3 linked regions of the Macaca fascicularis genome follow. The protein of the gene in region 3 binds, or shares a complex with, the protein of the main gene of each other region. Links are inferred from orthologs where the notes say so. Each region holds a gene or a part of one and is shown on either strand. Other genes may lie near its edges.

Region 1 (6,989 bases), on a different chromosome or scaffold from region 3:
GCACCTAAAGCCTTAACTGAGGGGGGAAAAAAAATCACAAAAATCTTCCTACTTGACATTTAAATCCATTCAACCTTCCTTACATGAGGCCAAATGGTTTCAAGGCTTTAGCCATATTAGTTTCAAAATAATATGTGATTTTGATCAAGTGCGGGTGGTAATAGTTTACATGGTAGCTATCATTGTTACTTTACATATGTAACACTTTCATAGATGTAATGGACTTCAGGCAATATTCTAAGTATTTGAAACATATTAACTTATTTAATATTCAAAACCAACCTATGAGGTAGGTACCACGACAGAAAAGAAATGGTTAAAGTGCATGAGGCCACTAATTCAAATACAAGTCATCTGGCTCCAGTCTTCATGCTCTTAACACCAGTTGTAAACACAAGACATTGAGACTTGAAATGTTAAAAAAGCATAAAGACAACACTGTTTCAACAAACAAGAGCATACAGTCACGTATCCGCCACCACAATCAATCAGCCTTCATTTTCTCATTCTAAAATTGGTATGTTTAATTTACTTAAAAGGAAGGAGGCAGCACATTTACAATTCCTCCTTAGTGTGAGGTTGTTTAAAAAAAAAAAAAAAATCAAAGGCCAGCCACAGTGGCTCACACCTGTAATCCCAGCACTTTGGGAGGCCAAAATCACTTGAGGTCAGGAGTTCGAGACCAGCCTGGCCAACATGGCAAAACCCCATCTCTACTAAAAACACAAAAATTAGCCGGGCATGGTGGCGCACACCTGTAGTCCCAGCCTCTCAGGAAGCTGAGGTGGGAGAATCACTTGAACCTCAGAGGTGGAAGTTGCAGTGAGCCGAAATTGTGCCACTGCACTCCAGCCTGGGCGACAGAGCAAGACTCTGTCTTTAAAAAAAAAAAAAAAATCAACACCACTTGTACTCTCTAGCCTCTTAAATCTAATAAATTTGTGTATGCACAATAGCTCTTGATATTGCCTTCATCAGTTTAAACAATGAAGTGTCAAATTCCTAAGTTACAAATACCAAGTAGGAACTGGAGAAAACAAGATTTTTAATACATGATATATTCCCAAAAAGGCAACGAGGGCCACTGTAGGTCAGTTTAATAACATAATTAACAGCCAAAAGTCAGAACAGGTAAAGTATATTTCTGACAACAATAAGATTAGTATAATTAGATTGTAGGTTTATGGTGTGCAATGGGAGAGGATGATGTTGATGAACTAGGATGAAGCAAACTGTAAAGGGCCAACAATTGAAATGTGTCCTTTAGGTCAGCAATTCTACGACTGCATATCAGGAAAGAAAAGGAGGGAAGAAAAATAAAAAAAACGCCAATGATCAGTATGATCAGTACTCTATCCCTAAAGACCAATCAAACCAGAATTTCTGTACCAGGCACAATAGTTCATCCCCAAAACCCCAGCTCTTTGAGAGGCTGACGCATGGAGGCCAACAGTTTAAGACAGCCTGGGCAACATAGCTAGATACTGTCTATATACTAAAAAGTATTTTAAAAATTTTTCAATGTAGTAAAAAGTGTAAATATATATATGCATAGAGAGTAAAAAAGTAAAAAAAAAAAAGTTTTAAAAATCCAAATTTCTGGGACACATACCATTTGAATATTTGAAAAGTTCTCCAGATATTCTAATGTATGTCAAAGGTCATGAACTACTAAAATGGCAAAGGGAAGACAGCAAGATCATTAGGTAGAGAAGTGACATGATCAAATACATTTTTAGGAAGACAACTGGCAGCAATATGGAATATGAATAGGAGGAAAAGAAACTACTGAAAGTTAAAAATGATCCTCAACTAAGGCAGTGGCAGTTACTACATGGAGGAACATTGTAGTCAGGAGACATCCTGCTGGCACAATCAAAACAGATGATGATAATCTCGATGTAAGGGAAAATCAAGAATGCTTTAGATTTCAACCTTTAAAAACTTAGGAAATGAAGAGCAGTTGAGTTTTGCTTTGTTGTTGTTTTGTCTTTTTGTTTGTTTTTGACACAATGAGTTTTAGTGATGCCTACAGCCAGTTAACAAAAACTGGGATTGAAATAAAAACCTAGGGTCATCACTGTAGGTTATCACTAAGGAGTACACACAGAGCAGCATTCGTAAAGGAGATCAACATTCATTATCTGGAGCGTTTGTTAATGCAGATTCCTGAGTCTCAATCAAAATATAAGGAGTAAGTCATTTAGGCCTCTAAAAATTTTGAGAACCACTGAAGACAAAAGCAGCACACAGGACCACGATGGACCAGGATGGAATTTTGGTGAGATCAAACATCATGCGTTCTATATGGCAGCCAGCGAGTCAGAATTTTATGAATATCTGAGACTGAAGTTTTTGATTATTTCAGGACACAATCTACAGAGAACACCAAAGTTAGCCATCTTGGCTACACTTACGCTGTGAAATCTGCAGCTGCTGTAGCTGCTTTGGTGGCATCCTTATTCAGTGTTGCACCCCAAACAGCACCTTTATGACCCAAAAATGTTCCAATCCAGTCTCCTGTATCTCCCTGGCGTAGCATAGGTTTACCATCTAGAAAATATTTTTTAAAACATGTAATTTATAAGTTCGGATTAAAGTCTAAGATTCAAATGTAAATATACAATGATGTTCAATGACGAAGTGGAAAAATTGTTTCAGCTATTTAACTATCACCACCGATTGAAGTCACTACGGAATGTCCAGTAATAATTAACTGAAGAGCTGAACAGATCATTTTCCCTGAAAAGCATCTGTAATTTGCTGGGAATACTGATCTGCGTCGAAATAACTTAGATTTTAGTCTTATTTTGGACAAACATTGTAGCCTAAATCTGTTTCCCATTTGAAAAATGAGGCTAATACCACAAAGGAATACCCAGTGAGACAAGAGCGAACATCTTTGTAAGGTATCGCACGGCCTGGCCTAATTTCTCCTTTCCCCAAATCCTTGACAGCTATTTACAGTGTTGTCCCGAGAGTCTAGGCAAGTGCTGTCCAGCTCCTTCAAAAATAGCAATAAAAATAAAATAAGGAGAGAGGTCTTAGCTGGGGGTAATAGTTTCTACATAAGCGTCCGGAGGCCTCTCGGCTCCAGCTGCGGATTCCCTAACACACTCCTTTCTCCACTGGACCAGTGTTGGCCCTCATCTCAGATGTTAATATCGCCCCCTCCCCGCTCACCACACCACAGCTCAGCACTGGAGAGTGCGGGTCCCAATCCCTTTCGGCCCAGTCCCAGCCGTCGGGGACCAGGATTGAGGCCTTGCTCACCTTTGCAAGCGCTGATTAAGAAATACCCATAAGGCGTGATGCCACTGAAGGCCAAATCAACCACGGGACGCGTGTGGCCAGAGCAGGTGAGCGGCGTCTGTCTCATTGCCATGGCGGCGGCGAACCCAGCGACCGGACTGGCGAGCTGAGGGTCGTCGTTGTCTTTTCTCTCTTCTGCTGCAGCGCCTCGGGCTCCTCCAGGCCCCCGCCCTGACACTAGGGCTGGGCTGGGCAACAGGAAAAGAAGGGCAATCCGGTGGCACCGAGGTTAGGAAGGGGTGAGGGAGGGGTCAGGGAGTCTGCTACCAGCAAGCAACAGTCGACGAGGGAGGGAAAGGGAGGGAGGGAGGAAAGTAGGGGATGGGGAGAAGCAGAGAACCGGCCCAGCCACGATTCACACCGTCCACACCGGTATCGGCAGGAAGTGACGACGTAAATGACGCAGAGCACCCGCCGGAAATGACGATTGGCTGGCGGGAGGGCGGGCTCGCTGGGCATAAGTGACTTGAAGAAAGAGCGAGAAGTGCAGAAAGACGCAGGCGCCAGTTCAGTGCCCTGAGGTAACTAACGCTGGCCCATGCCGGCTAAAGGAGGCGCTGTAGGCACCGGGATGGGGTCCCTCGCCCCGAGCTCTAGCGGGTCAGAACGCCTTCCCGGTCCGCGGCCGAGTTGAAATCCCTTCCCACTCCCGTAAGCCCAGGGGCCAGCGGCAGCAGTGTACCCGCCGAGCAGCCCTACTGAGGACTGTGCTCGGCCTCTGAATATCTAGACGGACACGAGCCATTCCCAGTGACGGCTCAAACCTGCGAACACTGTCTAGTAACGTTTTTTTGCAATTTGTCTTACTTAAAAACCATATACGGGCTTGGCGTGGTGGTGCCTGTGGTCCCACCTATTTGGAAGGCTGAGGTGGGAGGATACTGGAGCCGGAGAAGTCGAGGCCAGCCACAGTAAGCGGTGGTCGCGCCACTGCACTCCAGCCTGGACGACAGAGCGAGACCCTGTCTTAAAACAAAAAAACAAAAACCAAAAAAAATTCCCCAGCCATCTCTTCTGCTGTGTGAGTTTTCCTATGTTGCTAATGTTTTAGGCGTGGATACTATATAGTTTTAAATGCGATTAAATTCAAATTACTTTTTCCTTGGTGGACTTTGGAGAACTCTAGAGTTGTAGATCCCCAATATTTTTGATTAAATACTCTCATCAATAAAGTGAGCCTGCACTCATTTTTTAAGCGAATGAATGCTGAATTCTATCAAAAACTTTTACACATCTTTTGATATGTATACATATGAGTGATAATTTGCAAATTACATACAAGGACAAATTAAAAGAATATTTAAATATAAACTGTGATATTGTCTGCAGCAGGCAGCCCAGTGTGGCTCTGTGAAACAACCAGAGCTGTTAATTGTTCATACTGTTTACTAACCAGGAGAGGCCTTTTCTCTGGGCAAGTTCTTTATTGCTAGAATGTAAGCCCTATACAACAGAGATTTTTGTGTTTACTACTTCATCCCCAAGATCAAAACGTCTTGGCACATACCAATAAATATGTAATCAACATAAATGTCTGTGAATGTTTTCTTCATCTTTTTGCAGCAAACACCGTCTACAAGATTTGCGTCAAACAACGTGAAAACTTGAAATATGTCTCTATTCTTTTTCCTTAGTACTCTCGTCCATTCACTTACAGTAAAGCACTTACTATATACGTTTTTCATTTTATTTTGTTTGACTCCTCCTTTGTGTCAGCCTCTCCCTTTTGTCTCACACATACACACCACTCACACATTTATGAGCTCCTTAATGGCAATGGTTATGGCTTTGTCATTTGTACTCTAGTGCCAGAAAAGTGAATGACATTTAGTGAATGCTCAGCATTACTGTTTACTGATTAAATAGATTGTTGCATTACTGATGGAGGTAAATAAAAGAGCCAGTCAAAATGACACAACTGGTCAGATACTGGTACATGTTCATTTATTGCTGATTGTGTGTAGATAAAAATATAACTGGTGAGTTATGGTACCTACTTGGCTCTAAAGAATGTATTCCTGCTCATTTGGATTGAGTTCTGAAAGTATTGTGTATTATAACCAATTGTGTAGGCTTCAAGGTCAATTTAATATTAGAAGACAGGTTAATGTAATTGATATAATTCACAATATTAAAAGATTAAAGAAGAAAATCGTATCAAAAGATGTGTAAAAAGTTTTTGATAGAATTCAGCATCCTTTCACTTACAAGAACTCTTAGACACTAAAAATAGAAGGGAATTTTTTAACCTGACAGACTATCTGAAACCCCACACCTAATGGTGAAACACAGAAAGCATTCTGTATTAGGTACAAGACAGATGATTGCTACTGCCTCTTCTATACAGCATTGCACTGGGTGTTCAGAAAACTTAAAAATGCATAAATGTTCCAAAGAAAGTTGTAAATCTGTGATTAGAAATTGTTTTAGAGGTTATATATAAAGAAAAGAGGCAAGGTGCGGTGGCTCATGCCTGTAATTCCAGTTCCCAGTACTTTGGGAGGCTGAGATGGGAGGATCACTCCAGTCCAGGAATTCAAGACCAACCTGGGCAAGAGAATGAGACTCAGACTCTACAAAAAAATTAAAAAATTAGCCTGGCATGGTGGTACACACCTGTGATCCCAGCTACACGGGACACTGAGGCAGGAGGATCACTTGAGCTCAGAAGTTTGTGGCTGCAATAAACCCTATTTCTGCTACTGCACTTCAGCCTGGACAATGAGGTAAGACCGTGTCTCTAAAGAAAAAAAAACTAATACAAGTTATTGGAATTAATGAGAGAATTTAGAAAGGTTACTGGAGTTTTTTTTTTTTTTTTTTTTTTAAAGAGAGAAGGTCTCACTGTGCTACCCAGGCTAGAGTGCAATGGCTACATTACTGGGTTTTTTGGGGTTTTTTTGTTGTTTTTGGTGTGTGTGTGTGTGTAATGAAGACATCACATTTCTATATGTTAGCAACAACAGAAAATGTAATTTTAAAGTATACCATATTAAATGGCATCAAGAGTTATAAATTACATTGGAATAAACAAAGTGTACTCCCCAGCAAAAGAAAACTGGCACACTGAAATGTAGAAGTTGAGGGCAATGTAATGAAGGGATCAGTTACAGAAGTGTGGCCAGGATCAAAAGTAACCAACAAGAAGAAAATGGGGCACTAATCATAGATCTGAGCGAGAAACTGAAAGGGAGCAGTTATCTGAACCTGATTTCATTGAGAAAGGTACGGCTGCAGCAGAAGGCTCTGGGCGAGAGGTGGAATAATCGGTAGAGGAACACAACTGCTCCCAATTATCATCAGCCCAGCCATGGGGAAGAAGTGGGGAAATAGATATGTACTTTTAGATCTTCTGCCCATGCTTCCATTGGTCAAACCCAGCCAGAGCCCAGAAGACAAGGGAGCCCTTTAATGGGGTCCATAAATGTCAACCTTCTAGGACTTAAAACATAGTACAAAAGGGAGAAAAGGGGATCTCATTAAATAAATGGATACCCAACATGATGTTCAATATTATTTAATGCCTCTCAGCAAAATGTATCACTCTCTATTAAAGGCATTAAATAATATTAAATGGAAAATGGATATATTGTGTTCGTGGGTTGGCAGGTTCAATTTTGGGAAAATATCAGTGCTCCCCTGTTATGGGCTGAATTGGGTTCCCCTCCTCCAAATTC
Region 2 (7,096 bases), on a different chromosome or scaffold from region 3:
TACAATACTTGAAACACAGAACAAAGTATATCAAATGTGATGTGTCACGTAACACAATAGAGAAGTATTGAAAGGGAGACAAACGTGGGCAACAGAGAACTGGAAAGCTATGTGGAGGAGGTAGGATTATGCTCTTTTCAAAGACATGGAATTTGTATGGAAGGAAGAAAAACGACTGAGGGAAGAATGGCATGAGTAAGAGAACAGAAGTGGGAAGGAGATTGGTTATAGAAGAAACGGTGAGAAGGGTAGGTTGGGTGACGCAGAGTGAGCTATAGACAAGAGGGCAAATTAGCTGCATGGCAATGGTACTGGCCTAGGAATGCCATTTTCCTTACGTGTAAACGTACAGAAACAACCTAGATGCTTAAGGTCTCTATGGTCATTAACATTCTATGATTCTAGGACAGTAGGTCTCAACTCTTTTGTGCATCCAAGTAGCCTGAATAAATTTTTTAAAATTAGAGATGCCTAAAGTCTATTCCCTAAGATTTTGATTTAATAGGTCAGAGGGTTGATCACAACATCTGTATTCTTTTTTTTTTTTTTTTTTTGAGACGGAGTCTCACTCTGTCGCCCAGGCTGGAGTGCAGTGGCGCGATCTCGGCTCACTGCAAGCTCCGCCCCCTGGGTTCACGCCATTCTCCTGCCTCAGCCTCCCGTGTAGCTGGGACTAGAGGCGCTCGCCACCACGCCCAGCCAATTTTTTTTTTTTGTAGTTTTAGTAGATACGGGGTTTCACCGTGTTAGCCAGGATGGTCTCGATCTCCTGACCTCGTGATCCGCACGTCTTGGCCTCCCAACAGAACATCTGTATTCTTAAAAGCTTCAAGGTAAGTCTGACATAAGCCAGAAAACCATTGTTCCAACCCCTCTTCCCATTACTGCATGATCTGTATTATGTACTCAATGTTTCACCCCAAATAAAATAATTCAAGTATTAACTCCCAATTTGTGAACCTTTCGGCTTTCATAATTATCTATGGCCTCTAACCCAAGAATTCTGGGAATCTATCCTAGACAACAAGAAATAAAAATGATGTTTTCTAAACAAAGATGTGTTATTTTCAACGTTTGATTAAAATATAGTTTATCACTTCTAATGCCTAAAAATTAAGTACAATCTAAATAGTCAATCATAGTGAACAGTTAAATAAATTATGGCAAATTTGTGCTAGAATACTAATTAACAACTTAAAATGATGACCTTTTAACAAAATAAAACACTCATAATAACATTAAGTAAAAACACTAGGACACAAAACTGTATGTGTGTATATAGGACTTCATTTCTGTTAAAAATGAAGATTAGAAACAAAACTGGAAGATTTGATCCAAACTGTCAACATTAGTCACCTCTAAGTTCTGGGATTACGGGTAATTTATTTTCCCGTTAACAATTTTCCATGCTTTCTAAATTTTCTACAAAACATAAATTATATAAATTTATATAATTCATCAAGAAATAAATGTATAGATTTATAGAATCTATAAAGTCATAAACTTATTACATTGATAATTAGAAAGCAAAGTTGACCTATTCTGCTAATATGGGCTGAACAGAAACAGCAATTTGTTCCAGGGCTAAAGACATTTACATTTCAAAAAGATATGCATGAATTAGTTCCTATAAGTACTTCTTGAAGGCTCAAAATTTAAAACAAGATCAAGACCACTAAATTCTTAAATAGTGACGAATATAAGGTAACATGAATTAATTCTTATAAATACTTCTCGAAGGCTCAAAATTTAAAACAAAGATCAAGACCACTAAATTCTTAAACAGTGATGAATGTAAGGTAACAACTACATCTTAGGATCAAATTAGAGTTACTGTAAGAAAGCATTCCTACTATCATGAGTGGATTTGAAAACATGTTGAAAAATCCCATCGAAGCTGACAGAGCACTGAACCAACTTCTACCTGGAACTTGGTGACAGTGACTGATTTGTCTCTAACCATAAAGCCCATCAAAAACCAAGATTGTCTACTTAGTAGTAAAAAATAATAACGACGATGATAGGAGGATTCTGCTGAACTCATGTTTTCAATGGACCAAAAAAATCTTCCCCTAGGTATGGAGAAGTAACTCAAGTGGAAAGAAGGGATGCTTGAAATTATTGCAAACTCTTTATTCATTACATAGATTAGCCACTGGTGGGTACCATGCATCCAGGATTTATGAAGATTTCAAATACGCCGTCCTTTTGCCCCCATAACCACACTCAAACTCGTGAGACCATGTGCCTCTATTTTTAATTACGAAAATAAGGACGCTGTATCTCCACCGGTGGTTAGAACTGCGAAACATCCCAACCACAACGTCCAGAAGGGCGACTGATCGCAGAGCTTCAAGTGATCTTAACTACGTTATGTGTTCCTGACACACTACAGCTGTGTTCCGAGGGTCTGGGACGCAGGACAGAACCATTACTATATTAAGCTTTCCCGCTCATGGGACGCGGTGCTCAGTCCCCGGGGACCGACAGGGGCTCCACCAACAACTCTGCGCCTCCCTCTCGCGGCCCGGACGGCAGCAGCGCAGGTAACTGGAAATGACTGGCAAGAAAAGCACCTTTTAAAATAACAAAAACAAACCACTTATCAGGAACTTTTCCAGCCTGGAATGAGGAATATTTATAAAAACAGTGGTAGAATATTAGGACATTTCTAGGCCCAGTTTCACCAAGTGAAAAGACCTGTGATAAGACGAGCCCAGGGCTGCACTGGACTTGCGGGATGCAGAGACTAACCAGAAGGGCCCTGCCGTCGAGGGACCCTAATCTCTGTACGCTTCGGGGGCGCCCGGGTGGCAGCCGGTGTCCCGCCGCGTCCCTGAGAGGCTTCGGCCTTGTCCGACCCCAGGCTGAAGATCAGGTGGCCCGGGGCCAGCACGTTACCTGCAGCAGGTGCAGCTGGGCCACGAGACCCCGTGGCAGGTGGAGGAAGCAGTCGCGAGCGTTGGTGAAGGCCACAGTCACTGCCGCCCCGCCTCCCCCAGCACCCGCCAGGCGATCGCTGCCCCACATCGTCCCGAAGCGTCGCTCTGGGTTTGCCCACCCTAGCGCCGCAAAGGACACGGGACCTGGCAGGCCGAGGACGTCGGAACCGGAGGAGATCGATCGGCCCCGCCCCCTGAGGCCCCGCCCCCTCTCCCCGCTGCGCGTCTCGCCGTAAGCCTGTAGTGGGGTGGGACAAGAAAGCTTCTGTCACCCACCGCGCCTCTCCGCCAAGCCGCTCGGGGGCGGCACCTCGTTCATCAAATCCTCGCACGCAGGAAACGATGGCCGACGCTGTCGATTCTTCAGCCAATGCTGACACTCCTTAACTCATCCCGCTCTCTTATTGGATAAAAGGGAGGTCAGCAGGGCGGATGTTGTCCTCCCTGCAAGGATCAAAGTAGGCAAGATGGCGTCCAGCGGTGGGGAGTTAGGGAGTTTATTTGACCACCACGTCCAGAGGGCGGTGTGCGACACGCGGGCCAAATATCGGGAGGGACGACGGCCTCGTGCTGTCAAGGTAAAGTGATTTTTGGTTTCATTCGCTCTCCTCGGTAGCTTTTTGTGAGCGCTAGCGCCATATGGCTAACCTACGGAAATAAAGGCACGACAAGGCTTCCGTCAGATCTGTCGCTCATTAGAGCTGGCGTGAAGAACCCTGGGCCAGGTACCAAAGATTCTCACGACCCTTTTGGTCAACTATTAGAACATCAACTCCACGAGAATAGGGCTTGGTTTTAGTCATTGGATCTTCAGTGTTTACAGTACTACTTGGCACAGGTAAGCGCTCAGTGAATATTCGTTGAGTGATTGTTCCCAGTGACTTCTGCCGACTCAATTTCTGGAAAAAAATGTCGACTGAAGGTAGTCTGTTATATGCCTTAGGTAGCCTCTCACATGGACTGTTACTCTTTATGCAGAGGGAATGGCAGAAATTTTATTTTGTGTTTTTTGCTGACTGGGTTGAACAGATTATTTCTTGTTTTCAAAGTTCTGTTTAAAAAAAAAAATAGAGGCAGATTCGTCCTAGGCTTATTTGCGAAATACGTTTAATAACTATGCATTTCTTTCAGGTATATACAATCAATTTGGAATCTCAGTACTTATTAATACAAGGAGTTCCTGCTGTGGGAGTCATGAAGGAATTAGTTGAGCGATTCGCTTTATATGGTGCAATTGAACAGTACAATGCGCTAGATGAATACCCAGCAGAAGACTTTACTGAAGTTTATCTTATTAAATTTATGAACTTACAAAGTGCAAGGTAAGGTGCAAGTTAAGCAATGACTCGTTTCATTTCCTCCATTCATATTTCTGTCATTTTGGCCCCAAGTTTCCCTCATTCATATCTGAATTACCCCAAAATGTAATCTAGCATATCTTCCTACAGCCTTTTTACAGGTTAACTTTACTGAAACACTGTATCCATCACATCCCATGCTTAACAATGTAATGTCCTGTAGCGTGGTAGAGTAAAAGTTGGGTTTGGCCAGGCACGGTGGCTTACGCCTGCAATCACAGCACTCTGGGAGGCCGAGGCAGGCGGATCACGAGGTGAGGAGTTTGAGACCAGCCTGGCCAACATGGTGAAACCCCGTCTCTACTAAAAATACAAAATTAGCCGGGTCTAGTGGTGCATACCTGTAATCCCAGCTACTCAGGAGGCTGAGGCAGGAGAATTGCTTGAACCCAGGAGGCAGAGGTTGCAGTGAGCCGAGATTGCGCCATTGCACTCCAGCCAGGGCAACAAGAGGGGATCTCCGCCTCAAAGAAAAAAAAAATGGGTTTGAGGGCTGGGCGCCAATAACTCACGCCTCACGCCTGTAATCAGAGTACTTTGGGAGACCGAGGCAGGCAGATCACTTGAGGTCAGGGGTTCAAGACCAGCCTGGCCAACATGATGGAAACCCCGGCTCTACTAAAAATACAAAAATTAGCCGGGTGTGGTGGTGCAGACCCATAGTCCCAGCTACTCAGGTGGCTGAGGCATGGGAATCGCTTGAACCCGGGAGGTGGAGATTGCAGTGAGCAGAAATCACACCACTGCACTCCAGCCTGGATGACAGAGCGAGGCTCCGTCTCAAAAAAAAAAAAAAAAAAAAAAAATTTGGGTTTGGCGCCAGGCATGTGGCTCACACCTGTAATCCCAGCAGTTTGGGAGGTGGAGGTAGGCGGATCACCTGAGGTCAGGAGTTCAAGACCAGTCTGGCCAACATGGTGAAACCCTGACTCTACTAAATACAAAAATTAGCTGTGTTGGTGCAAGCCTTTAATCCCAGCTCCTGGGGAGGCTGAGGCACAAGGATCACTTGAACCCAGAAAGTAGAGGTTGCAGTGAGCCAAGATCATGCCATTGCACTCCAGCCTGGAAAGAGTGAGACTGTCCCAGAAAAAAAGAAAAGAAAAGAAAAAAAAGTTGAATTCGATCCCAGCACTATGGAAGGCCAAGGTGGGCAGACAGCTTGAGCCCAGGAGTTCGAGACCCGACTGGCCAACATGGCAAAACCTCACCTCTGCTAAAAATACAAAAATCAAGGTGGGCGTGGTAGTGCATTCCTGTAGTCCCAGCTACTTGGGAGGCTGAGGTGGGAGAATCAGTTGAGCCCAGGAGGTGGAGGTTGCAGTGAGTCATTTATGGACCACTGCACTCCATCCTGGGTGATGGAGTGAGACTATGTCTCAAAAGAAAAAAAAATGTTGGGTTTGGAGTAAGTTTTCCATTTCCACTGCTTACTAGCTTTGTGATCTTGGACAAGTTATTTAACCTGTTTAAGTTTTTCCTGTTCCGTAAAATCTATATGGTAAAGGGACCTATCTACTTCTTGAGGTTGTATGAGGATGAAATGAGATAATCCATATAAAGGGTTTAGCAGAGTGCCTCCTGGTCAGAATACAGTAAGCATTAGCTATTGTGGTTTCTACTGTTACTCCTTTCTGCAAATTGACTCAGTGTTTTCCGGCCTTCTATGTGACATAAACCCTCTGCTCCAAAAAGGCTGAAGTATGCAATGCCTTATCTATTTTTATGTTGATCTCTGTTCTCCTCACTAATCTGCTCTGAGACCCATCCTTCTCTGGCTGTTACAATTCATATTTTCTTTCATGTGCTATCAGTAGAAATCATAATCTACCACAAAAGCACTTGATTTTACTGGGTCATGTGTGGTTTTCTCAGGCTGCTGTTATATGTAATCTCACTTTCTTAACCAATCTGCCAGCTGTCATGGTTAGAGAAATATTTTCTCGAGCTTTTCTGTTTTCCAAAGTACCTAGTCTAGTAGGCTCTGAAGTAAGACATCTGGATTTGAATCCTTGCTCCTCAAACCAGAGTATGAGCATGGCTAAGTTATGTAATGTCCCAGTGCTTCCGTTTCATTACAGGGTTGTTGTTAGGTGTTAATTCAAGTGAAGCACTTACAACATTGCCTGGCATATGGTAAAATCTGAGCAAGTATTTATCATTATCCCTGGATACAGAAGTAGTTATATTTATTGTAGTACCTGGCCAATCATAGATGTTTAGTAAGTATTTATTGACTGAATAACATTCTTCTCATTTTCTCATTGTTATATGTTTAATAGTTCCTCAGTTATTGAACGTTTTATGATTATAGTATTTTTCATCTGATTTTTAAGGCAAGAATCCCATTACAGAAATACATTGTGCTGAAAAAGCTTAATTGGGTATGAAGTAACTCTTCAGGGCCACAGAGAAAAGCTCTATTTTATGACCACAGTTTATATACTTCAGGCCAACCAGCTGGGTCCTTAGTTGTTTAAAGACTAGGAAACAAAGAGGCTCGAAGGGAAGAAAAGGGGAGGCTCTAAGTACATACTCGAACAATGGAATGAATACTGTCCACAAGCAGAGCATCTTAATTCCCAATCCACAGGATATATATACACATAGCAAAAGTTGGACTTTGCTCTTTAGATCCAGATATTGTATACTAGTTAAGCTTTCATCCCAAGTAAATCTAGATTAAAAAACCATGCTATCTTGTATTTCCATTCAGGACAGCCAAGAGAAAAATGGATGAACAGAGTTTCTTTGGTGGATTGCTTCATGTGTGCTATGCGCCAGAATTTGAAACAG
Region 3 (6,995 bases):
TCCCGGGTTCAAGTGATTCTCGTGCCTCAGCCTCCCAAGTAGCTGCGACTACAGTTACCCACCACCACGCCTGGCTAATTTTGTATTTTTAGTAGAGATGGGGTTTCACGATGTTGGCCAGGCTGGTCTCAAATTCCTGACCTCAAGTGATCTGCCTGTCTTGACCTCCCAAAGTGCTAGGATTACAGGTGTGAGCTGCTGTGCCTGGCCTTTAAATGACTCACATTACAGCACCAGGTTGGAGCCAACCTGCTTGGGTTCAACTCTAGGTCTATGATTTTCTAAACATTGGGTCTCACTATGTTGACTAGGCTAGTCTCGAAGTTCTCAGATGATTCCCCCACCTTGGCTTCCCAAAGTGCTGGGATTACAGGCATGAGCCAGTGCACCAGGCTAAGGTCTACTATTTATTATCTGTAGGATTTGTGCAATGTGTATAACCTCTCTGAGCCTCAATTTCCCCATCTGCATAATGAAGATCATATTGGTACCCACCTTAAAGGGCTGTCTGTTGCCTATGCCTAGCACATAGTAAGCTTTTGGTGGGGGCATTAAGGGGGGCAGTACAGCCTGGTGGTTTGTTTTCAGCATGGGAGTCTAGAGTCCGATTAACTCCAGTCATTGCCCCAGTTCCTCCTCTTAGCTCCTTTGGGATCTTGAACAGGATGCTTATTTCCCATTCCCTGGAGGGCTAGGGGGTCAGGGACTGGAGGTGGGTCCCTTTACCTTTCTGACTTGGAGATTTCCCGGGCTGCCTGGGGTTCGCACAACCAGCAGGGGGCGCAGATAAGTGCCCCAGAGACGCTGTGGGTCCAGTTGTCCCACCACCCTCCGCAGCCGGGCTTCGGGAAGGCTTCCGATCAACGGGACCTTGGGAAGGAGGTGGGATAGGGAAGGGAAGAATGAGAGCAACCCACCATTTCATCCCTACCCCGGGCGCCGTCACCCACAAGCAGCCCCGGGTCCTCTTTCTAATTTGCGGCCTCCAGCATCGGAGACTTCTAGGATAAATCCAAGGCTCAGAAAAAGTCCTTCCAAGACCATCCGGTCCAGCCTACCTCAAACTTGATGGGGAAATCGAGGCCCAGTGAGAGAGAGGGGAGATGGAGGAAGGGACTCTTCCAAATAGTTGACTAAAGGCGTAGAACCCTGAACCCCCTCGTCTTACTATTTCAGACCTTTCCTCATAAAAGGAAGCTACTGTTGTAAAACCAGCCCGAAGCCTTATTCCTTTGGTAAGGGTCATGCGCTCAGATGACGAAGACTGTGGCATCTGCGGTTAGGGCCGTACGCTAAAGCCAAGTCAACCCTGGGTAACAGCGGGGAGGGAATGAGGGTCCCCGCGGTGCCCGGGTCCCCGCCCAGCCTCACCCGCAGCTCCCGGCCCAGCGGCAGCTCCTCAGTCCTGCGGTGCCAGCCGCTCCAAATGGTGTAGAACGCCGAGCCCACGGCCAGCGCCAGCAACAGGGGCAAGAGCCGAACCCGCGGTAGCAGGCGGCGCTTCGGGGGCAAGAGTGGCTCCATAACGCCACGTTCCCCTAGCCGCAGGCGGGGCCGCCCGCGGCCCCCGGAACGCATGGCAGCTATGCCCTGAAACCTGTACCAGACCACGATTGAGTTTAGGCCCAGCCAAGTTCCACCCCATGGAATCAGTGGGCCAATAAGCAACAGCAGCGGCTGCACCTGCCCACCCCACAGCGAGCAGCGAAACCAATAAGAGCTACGGTCCTGAGGACACGCCTCCCGGCCTCCCTTGGGTATTGGGGTTGGTTCTTCTGAGAATGGCACGACCCAAAAGGGAGCGCAAAAGAGATAGGCTCCGCCTTAGCGGAGGGGGAAAGCCAATGAGCAGCGTTTGATCGTGGAAAATATTCAATCTCTCGGGCGCAGGTCCATGCCCCTCCCGGATGTAGGCAGGGGATTGGTGGCGCAGGGTCGGAAAGATCAGTAGATACGTCAATAACCCGTCCCAGAGGGAAGAGGGGCGGTGCCTGTCTCCGAAGCGAGGAGCGGATTGGCTTCAGCGGAGGCCGCGCCCCCGAAGTCACGGCCGGCGGGCATTTGGAAATAGTTTGTCATTTCCCTCCTTAAACCTGTACCATTCTTAAACGAAACGGTTTGAATCAGACCGCCTTTCCTTTTGTCTTCATTGTCATAAACATCTGCCCCGTGTGGTTCTGACTGGCCTCGAACCCCTATCCGAGGCTTTTATTCTTTCATTGTGCACCGTTGGTGGGCAATGCTATGGCAACAGGCCACGCCTCCACTTACTGGTTGGCTTTGCGCAGGCGCCAACGGAAGTGGGTCGCAGGAAGAGGAAGTCCCGCCTCTCTCGCCTCAGGCTGCAGCAACGCGGAGGAAACGGGAGTGAACGGAGAGCTTAGTGACCATCATGTGAGGCCGGGCTAGGCTTAGGCGGCGGGAAGGAGGTTGAGGGTGGAAATTTTGACCGATTGAGGGTGGGAAGGGTTGAGCAGAGAGCGGGGTGGGGGACAGGGGCAGATGTTTTAGGGATGGAGCGTCCTGCGTTTCTCCTGATGAGTTTGAGAACGGGCGTGGGGCCTTTGACGCATCGTGACTTCGGGAGAGGGGACAGCTTTATCAGATAACGCGCTGGGCTGGGCGCGGGGACTCATGCCTGTGATCCCAGCATTTTAGTAGGCCAAGGCGGGAGCATCGCTAGAACACAGGAGTTTCGAGACTACTCTAGGCAACATAGCGAGACCCCCGTCTCTACAAAAAAAATTTTTTTTAATTATGAAAAACATATTTTAAACGATAACGGAGGGGGGTCCTAGATAATTAGTCCTATTGAAGTGAATGTTAAGGGGCAGCGATTTTACGAATACTGGGGGAGGCCGGGCGCGGTGGCTCAGGTTTGTAAATCCCAGCACTTTGGGAGGCCGAGGCGGGCAGATCACCTGAGGTCAGGAGTTTGAGACCAGCCTGGCCATTGTGGTGAAACCCCGTGTCTACCAAAAATACAAAAATTAGCCAGACGTAGTGTCGGGCCCCTGTAATTCCAGCTACTTGGAAGGCTGAGGCCGGAGAATCGCTTGAACCCGGTAGACGGAGGTTGCAGTGAGCCGAGATTGCACCACTGCACACTTCCAGCCTGAGCGAAGAGTAAGACTCCATCTCAAAACGAAACAAAAGAAATCAAAACGAATACTGGGGAAGGGAAGTTAGGACTTTTAGAAATAATGATTTGAAATAAGGGACTTCTCCTGATCATTTGAGCTGGAGACAGATGCGTTTTCGACCTAATTCACAACTTAAAGGGATAACGAGTGATTGGCATGATTTTGCTCATTTATTAGTGCACCAAATATTACATTGAATGTTTATGTATCAGACACTGCTTAAGCCACATAGGATACATCAGTGAATGAAACCTTTTGTTCCCAAGGAAAAAAAAAATCTTTTTTTTTTTTTTTTTTTCCCGAGACATAGCCTTGCTCTGTTGCTCAGGCTGGAGTGCAATGGTGCGATCTCAGCTCACTGCAACCTCTGCCTCCCGAGTTGAAGCAATTCTCCTGCCTCAGCCTCCCGAGTTGCTAGGATTACAGGCACCAACCACCATGCCCAGCTGACTTTTATATTTTTAGTAGAGACCAGATTTCGCCATGTTGGCCAACCTGGTCTCAAACTCCTGACCTCGAATGATCCACCTGCCTCGACCTTCCAAAGTGCTGGCATTACAGGCGTGAGCCACCGTGCCTGGCCGGGCGTGAGCCACCATGCCTGGCCGGGGTTTTACTTTCTACACTGAGATGGCGGGGGGGCATGGGAGGATTTTCTTTTGTTTGTTTGAGATGGAATCTCGCTCTGTCACCCAGATTGGAGTGTAGTAGCACGATCTCTGTCTCCTGGGTTCAAGTGATCTTCTTGCCTCAGCCTCCCAAGTAGCTAGGATTACAAGCATGCGCCACCATGCCCAGCTACTTTTTTTTTTGGGGTGGGGGATGGAGTCTTACTCTGTAACCCAAGCTGGAGTGCAGTGGTGTAATCTTGGCTCACTGCAACCTTCGCTGCTGGGGCTCCAGCGATTCTCCTGCGTCATCCTCCTAAGTAGCTGGGACTAGAGGCATGCGCCATCACACCTCGTTAATTTTTTTGTATTTTTAGTAGAGACAGGGTTTCACCATGTTGCCCTGGGTGGTCTGGAACTCCTGAGCTCAGGCGATCCACCCCCCTTGGCCTCCCAAAGTGCTGGGATTACAGGCGTGAGCCATCACACGCAGCCTAATTTTTGTATTTTCTAATTTGTATTTATTTATTTTTTGAGACAGAGTCTCGCTCTGTCGCCCAGGCTGGAGTGCAGTGGCATGATCTCGCTTCACTGCACTCTCCGACTCCTGAGCTCAAGCGATTCTTCTGCCAGAACCTACCAAGTAGCTGAGATTACAGGCGTGCACCACCACGCCTGGCTAATTTTTTGTTGTTGTTTTTGTTTTGTTTGTATTTTTAGTAGAGATGGGTTTTCACCGTGTTGGCCAGGCTGGTCTCGAACTCCTGATGTCAAGTGATCCACCCGCCTTGTGAATCATCACCAGCTGGATGCCTAACAGACATTTTCTTTTCTTTTCTTTTCTTTTTTTTTTTTTTTTTTTTTGAGACGGAGTCTTGCTCTGTTGCCAGGGTGGAGTGCAGTGGCGCGATCTCAGCTCACCGCAACCTCTGCACCACAAAAGTGCTAGGATTACAGGCATGAGCTACCGTACCCAGCCCCTGGGAGGGCTTTGAAGAGTGACATGTTATGATTTAGGTTTTAGCACAGCCCCCTCAGACCACTCTGTGGAGAACAGACTGTCAGGGAACATGGGTGGAGGCAGAGAGACCGGAAAGATTCCAGGTCAGAGATGACAGAGGCTGAGGCCATGGTAAGAAATGGCCACTTCCTACAGATTTATTGTAGGATGCAAGGGAAAAAGAGGAATCAAGTTGACAAAGAGTTTTTGCCCAGAGAACTAGAAGGCAGATGGGGAACACTGTGGATAGGGTAGGCTTCGGTGGTTGGGTGATCTGGACCCCGACCTGAGACATGCAGAGTTGAAAATGTCTGGCTGAGCGCGGTGGCTCACACCTGTAATCTCAGCACTTCGGGAGGTCGAGGCGGGTGGATCACGAGGTCAGGAAATCAAGACCATCCTGGCCAACGTGGTGAAACCCACTGTCTACTAAAAATACAAAAATTAGCTGGGCGTGGAGGTGGCGCGCACCTGTAGTCCCAGCTACTCAGGAGGCTGAGGCAGGAGAATCGCTTGAACCCAGGAGGCAGAGGTTGCAGTGAGCTGAGATCGTGCCTCTGCACTCTAGCCTGGCAACAGAGCAAGACTCTGTCTCAAAAAAAAAGAAAAGAAAAGAAAAAGAAAATGTCTGTTAGGCATCCAGCTGGTGATACTCAGAAGGCCAAACAGGATGGATGTGATGGGACAAGGCTGGGGAGACATTGAGGCTGAGGCCCTGACCACCCATCCTCACAGCTCCAGCCTCTCTCACTTGTGGGTTCCATGTTTGTCCATGCAGGAGCCTCCTCAACAAGCCCAAGAGTGAGATGACCCCAGAGGAGCTGCAGAAGCGAGAGGAGGAGGAATTTAACACGGGTCCACTCTCTGTGCTCACTCAGTCAGTCAAGAACAACACCCAAGTGCTCATCAACTGTCGCAACAATAAGAAACTCCTGGGCCGTGTGAAGGCCTTCGATAGGTGAGTGCTGGGTCCTGGGAGGTGTTCTGTGCAGGCCTAGAGAGGCTGCCCTAGCTCCAGTCTGAAGAGCTCAAAGACAGGTTTCTCAGACGCCTGGGGTGTATGGCCCAGGGTGGTGGCTCATGCCTGTAATTCCAGCACTTTGGGAGGCCAAGGCGGGTGGATCACCTGAGGTCAGGAGTTCGAGACTAGCCTGGCTAACATGGTGAAACGGCATCTCTATTAAAAATATAAAAACCGGGCGTGGTGGTGCACACCTGTATTCACAGCTGCTCAGGAGGCCGAGGCACGAGAATTGCCTGAACCCAGGAGGCAGAGGTTGCGGCGAGCTGAAATCGCACCACTGCACTCCAGCCTGGGCAACAGAGCGACACTCTGTCTCAAAAAAAAAAAAAGAAAAAAAAAGATAATATTCAACGACCTTGTGAGGAAGGTACTGTGATTGTCTTCCCTCTTAAAGATGAACAAACTGGCACAGAGAGGTGCAGTCCTTTGCCTCAGCCTCAACCTAAGGACTGGCAGAATTGGCCTTGGCAGCTTGGTCATCCAGCCTAGCACCTGCACCCTTCCCCAAGCCATGCTGCTGGAGGGGGCGAGCAGCAGGCAGCGCTGTCAGAGGCACCCCCCTCACACCCAGTGCCTCCCCTCCCTGTTCCCCACCAGGCACTGCAACATGGTGCTGGAGAACGTGAAGGAGATGTGGACTGAGGTCCCTAAGAGCGGCAAGGGCAAGAAGAAATCCAAGCCAGTCAACAAAGACCGCTACATCTCCAAGATGTTCCTGCGTGGGGACTCGGTCATCGTGGTCCTGCGGAACCCGCTCATCGCCGGCAAGTAGGGGCTGCCTATCCATCGACAGAACTCACTCTCTCGTCCTATGAAGACCATTGCCATTGGTGTTGAGAATAATAAAGCTCTGTGGTTTTTTTCTAGTGGTATGTGTTCCCAGAGCCTTGTGAGTGGGGTGGATTCAGGAGGGCTTGGGGGAGGCAGCTAATATCAAATTGAATGCTGGGACCAGGACCCGTGAGCAAGTGGAGAGGCCCTGGCTCTGCCCCATCGAGGCCTCACTTTCCCCCTCCACAAAGCAAACAGGTTGGATGGAAATGAGCACCCAGTTGTGGCACTGGAGAATATTTTAGTTCTCCTGCTTTAATCTTTCTGAGCTTCGCCTTGTCACTCTGTTGCTCTCTTCTCTGCCTCTTAAAATGAATTGGCCTCGCTTGACCAAAATATCTTTTGGGGCCAGGCATGGTGGCTCACGCCTGTAATCCCAGTAGTTTGGG

Evidence for each region.
Region 1: SNRPD2 (region 3) and STRAP share a complex: the UniProt entries of both Homo sapiens proteins name them as parts of the SMN-Sm complex. The link is inferred for Macaca fascicularis from reciprocal best matches to the Homo sapiens genes SNRPD2 and STRAP.
Region 2: SNRPD2 (region 3) and RBM48 share a complex: the UniProt entries of both Homo sapiens proteins name them as parts of the minor spliceosome. The link is inferred for Macaca fascicularis from reciprocal best matches to the Homo sapiens genes SNRPD2 and RBM48.

What each region holds. Positions count from the first base shown.
Region 1 is NC_088385.1:18,694,951-18,701,939, reverse strand, and holds the start of STRAP (serine-threonine kinase receptor-associated protein), read right to left. Parts: upstream 3,706-6,989; 5' UTR 3,386-3,705; coding exon 3,274-3,385; intron 2,554-3,273; coding exon 2,418-2,553; intron 1-2,417. UniProt on the Homo sapiens protein: The SMN complex catalyzes the assembly of small nuclear ribonucleoproteins (snRNPs), the building blocks of the spliceosome, and thereby plays an important role in the splicing of cellular pre-mRNAs.
Region 2 is NC_088377.1:128,835,723-128,842,818, reverse strand, and holds the start of RBM48 (RNA-binding protein 48), read left to right. Parts: upstream 1-3,391; 5' UTR 3,392-3,409; coding exon 3,410-3,520; exon of another isoform or gene 3,521-3,780; intron 3,781-4,073; coding exon 4,074-4,264; intron 4,265-7,016; coding exon 7,017-7,096. Other genes in the region: peroxisomal ATPase PEX1, read right to left, coding at 2,902-3,030. UniProt on the Homo sapiens protein: As a component of the minor spliceosome, involved in the splicing of U12-type introns in pre-mRNAs.
Region 3 is NC_088393.1:53,754,510-53,761,504, reverse strand, and holds SNRPD2 (small nuclear ribonucleoprotein Sm D2), read left to right. Parts: upstream 1-2,339; 5' UTR 2,340-2,392; coding exon 2,393-2,394; exon of another isoform or gene 2,395-3,126; intron 3,127-5,529; coding exon 5,530-5,709; intron 5,710-6,372; coding exon 6,373-6,547; 3' UTR 6,548-6,641; downstream 6,642-6,995. Other genes in the region: QPCTL (glutaminyl-peptide cyclotransferase-like protein), read right to left, coding at 727-870, 1,372-1,578. UniProt on the Homo sapiens protein: Plays a role in pre-mRNA splicing as a core component of the spliceosomal U1, U2, U4 and U5 small nuclear ribonucleoproteins (snRNPs), the building blocks of the spliceosome.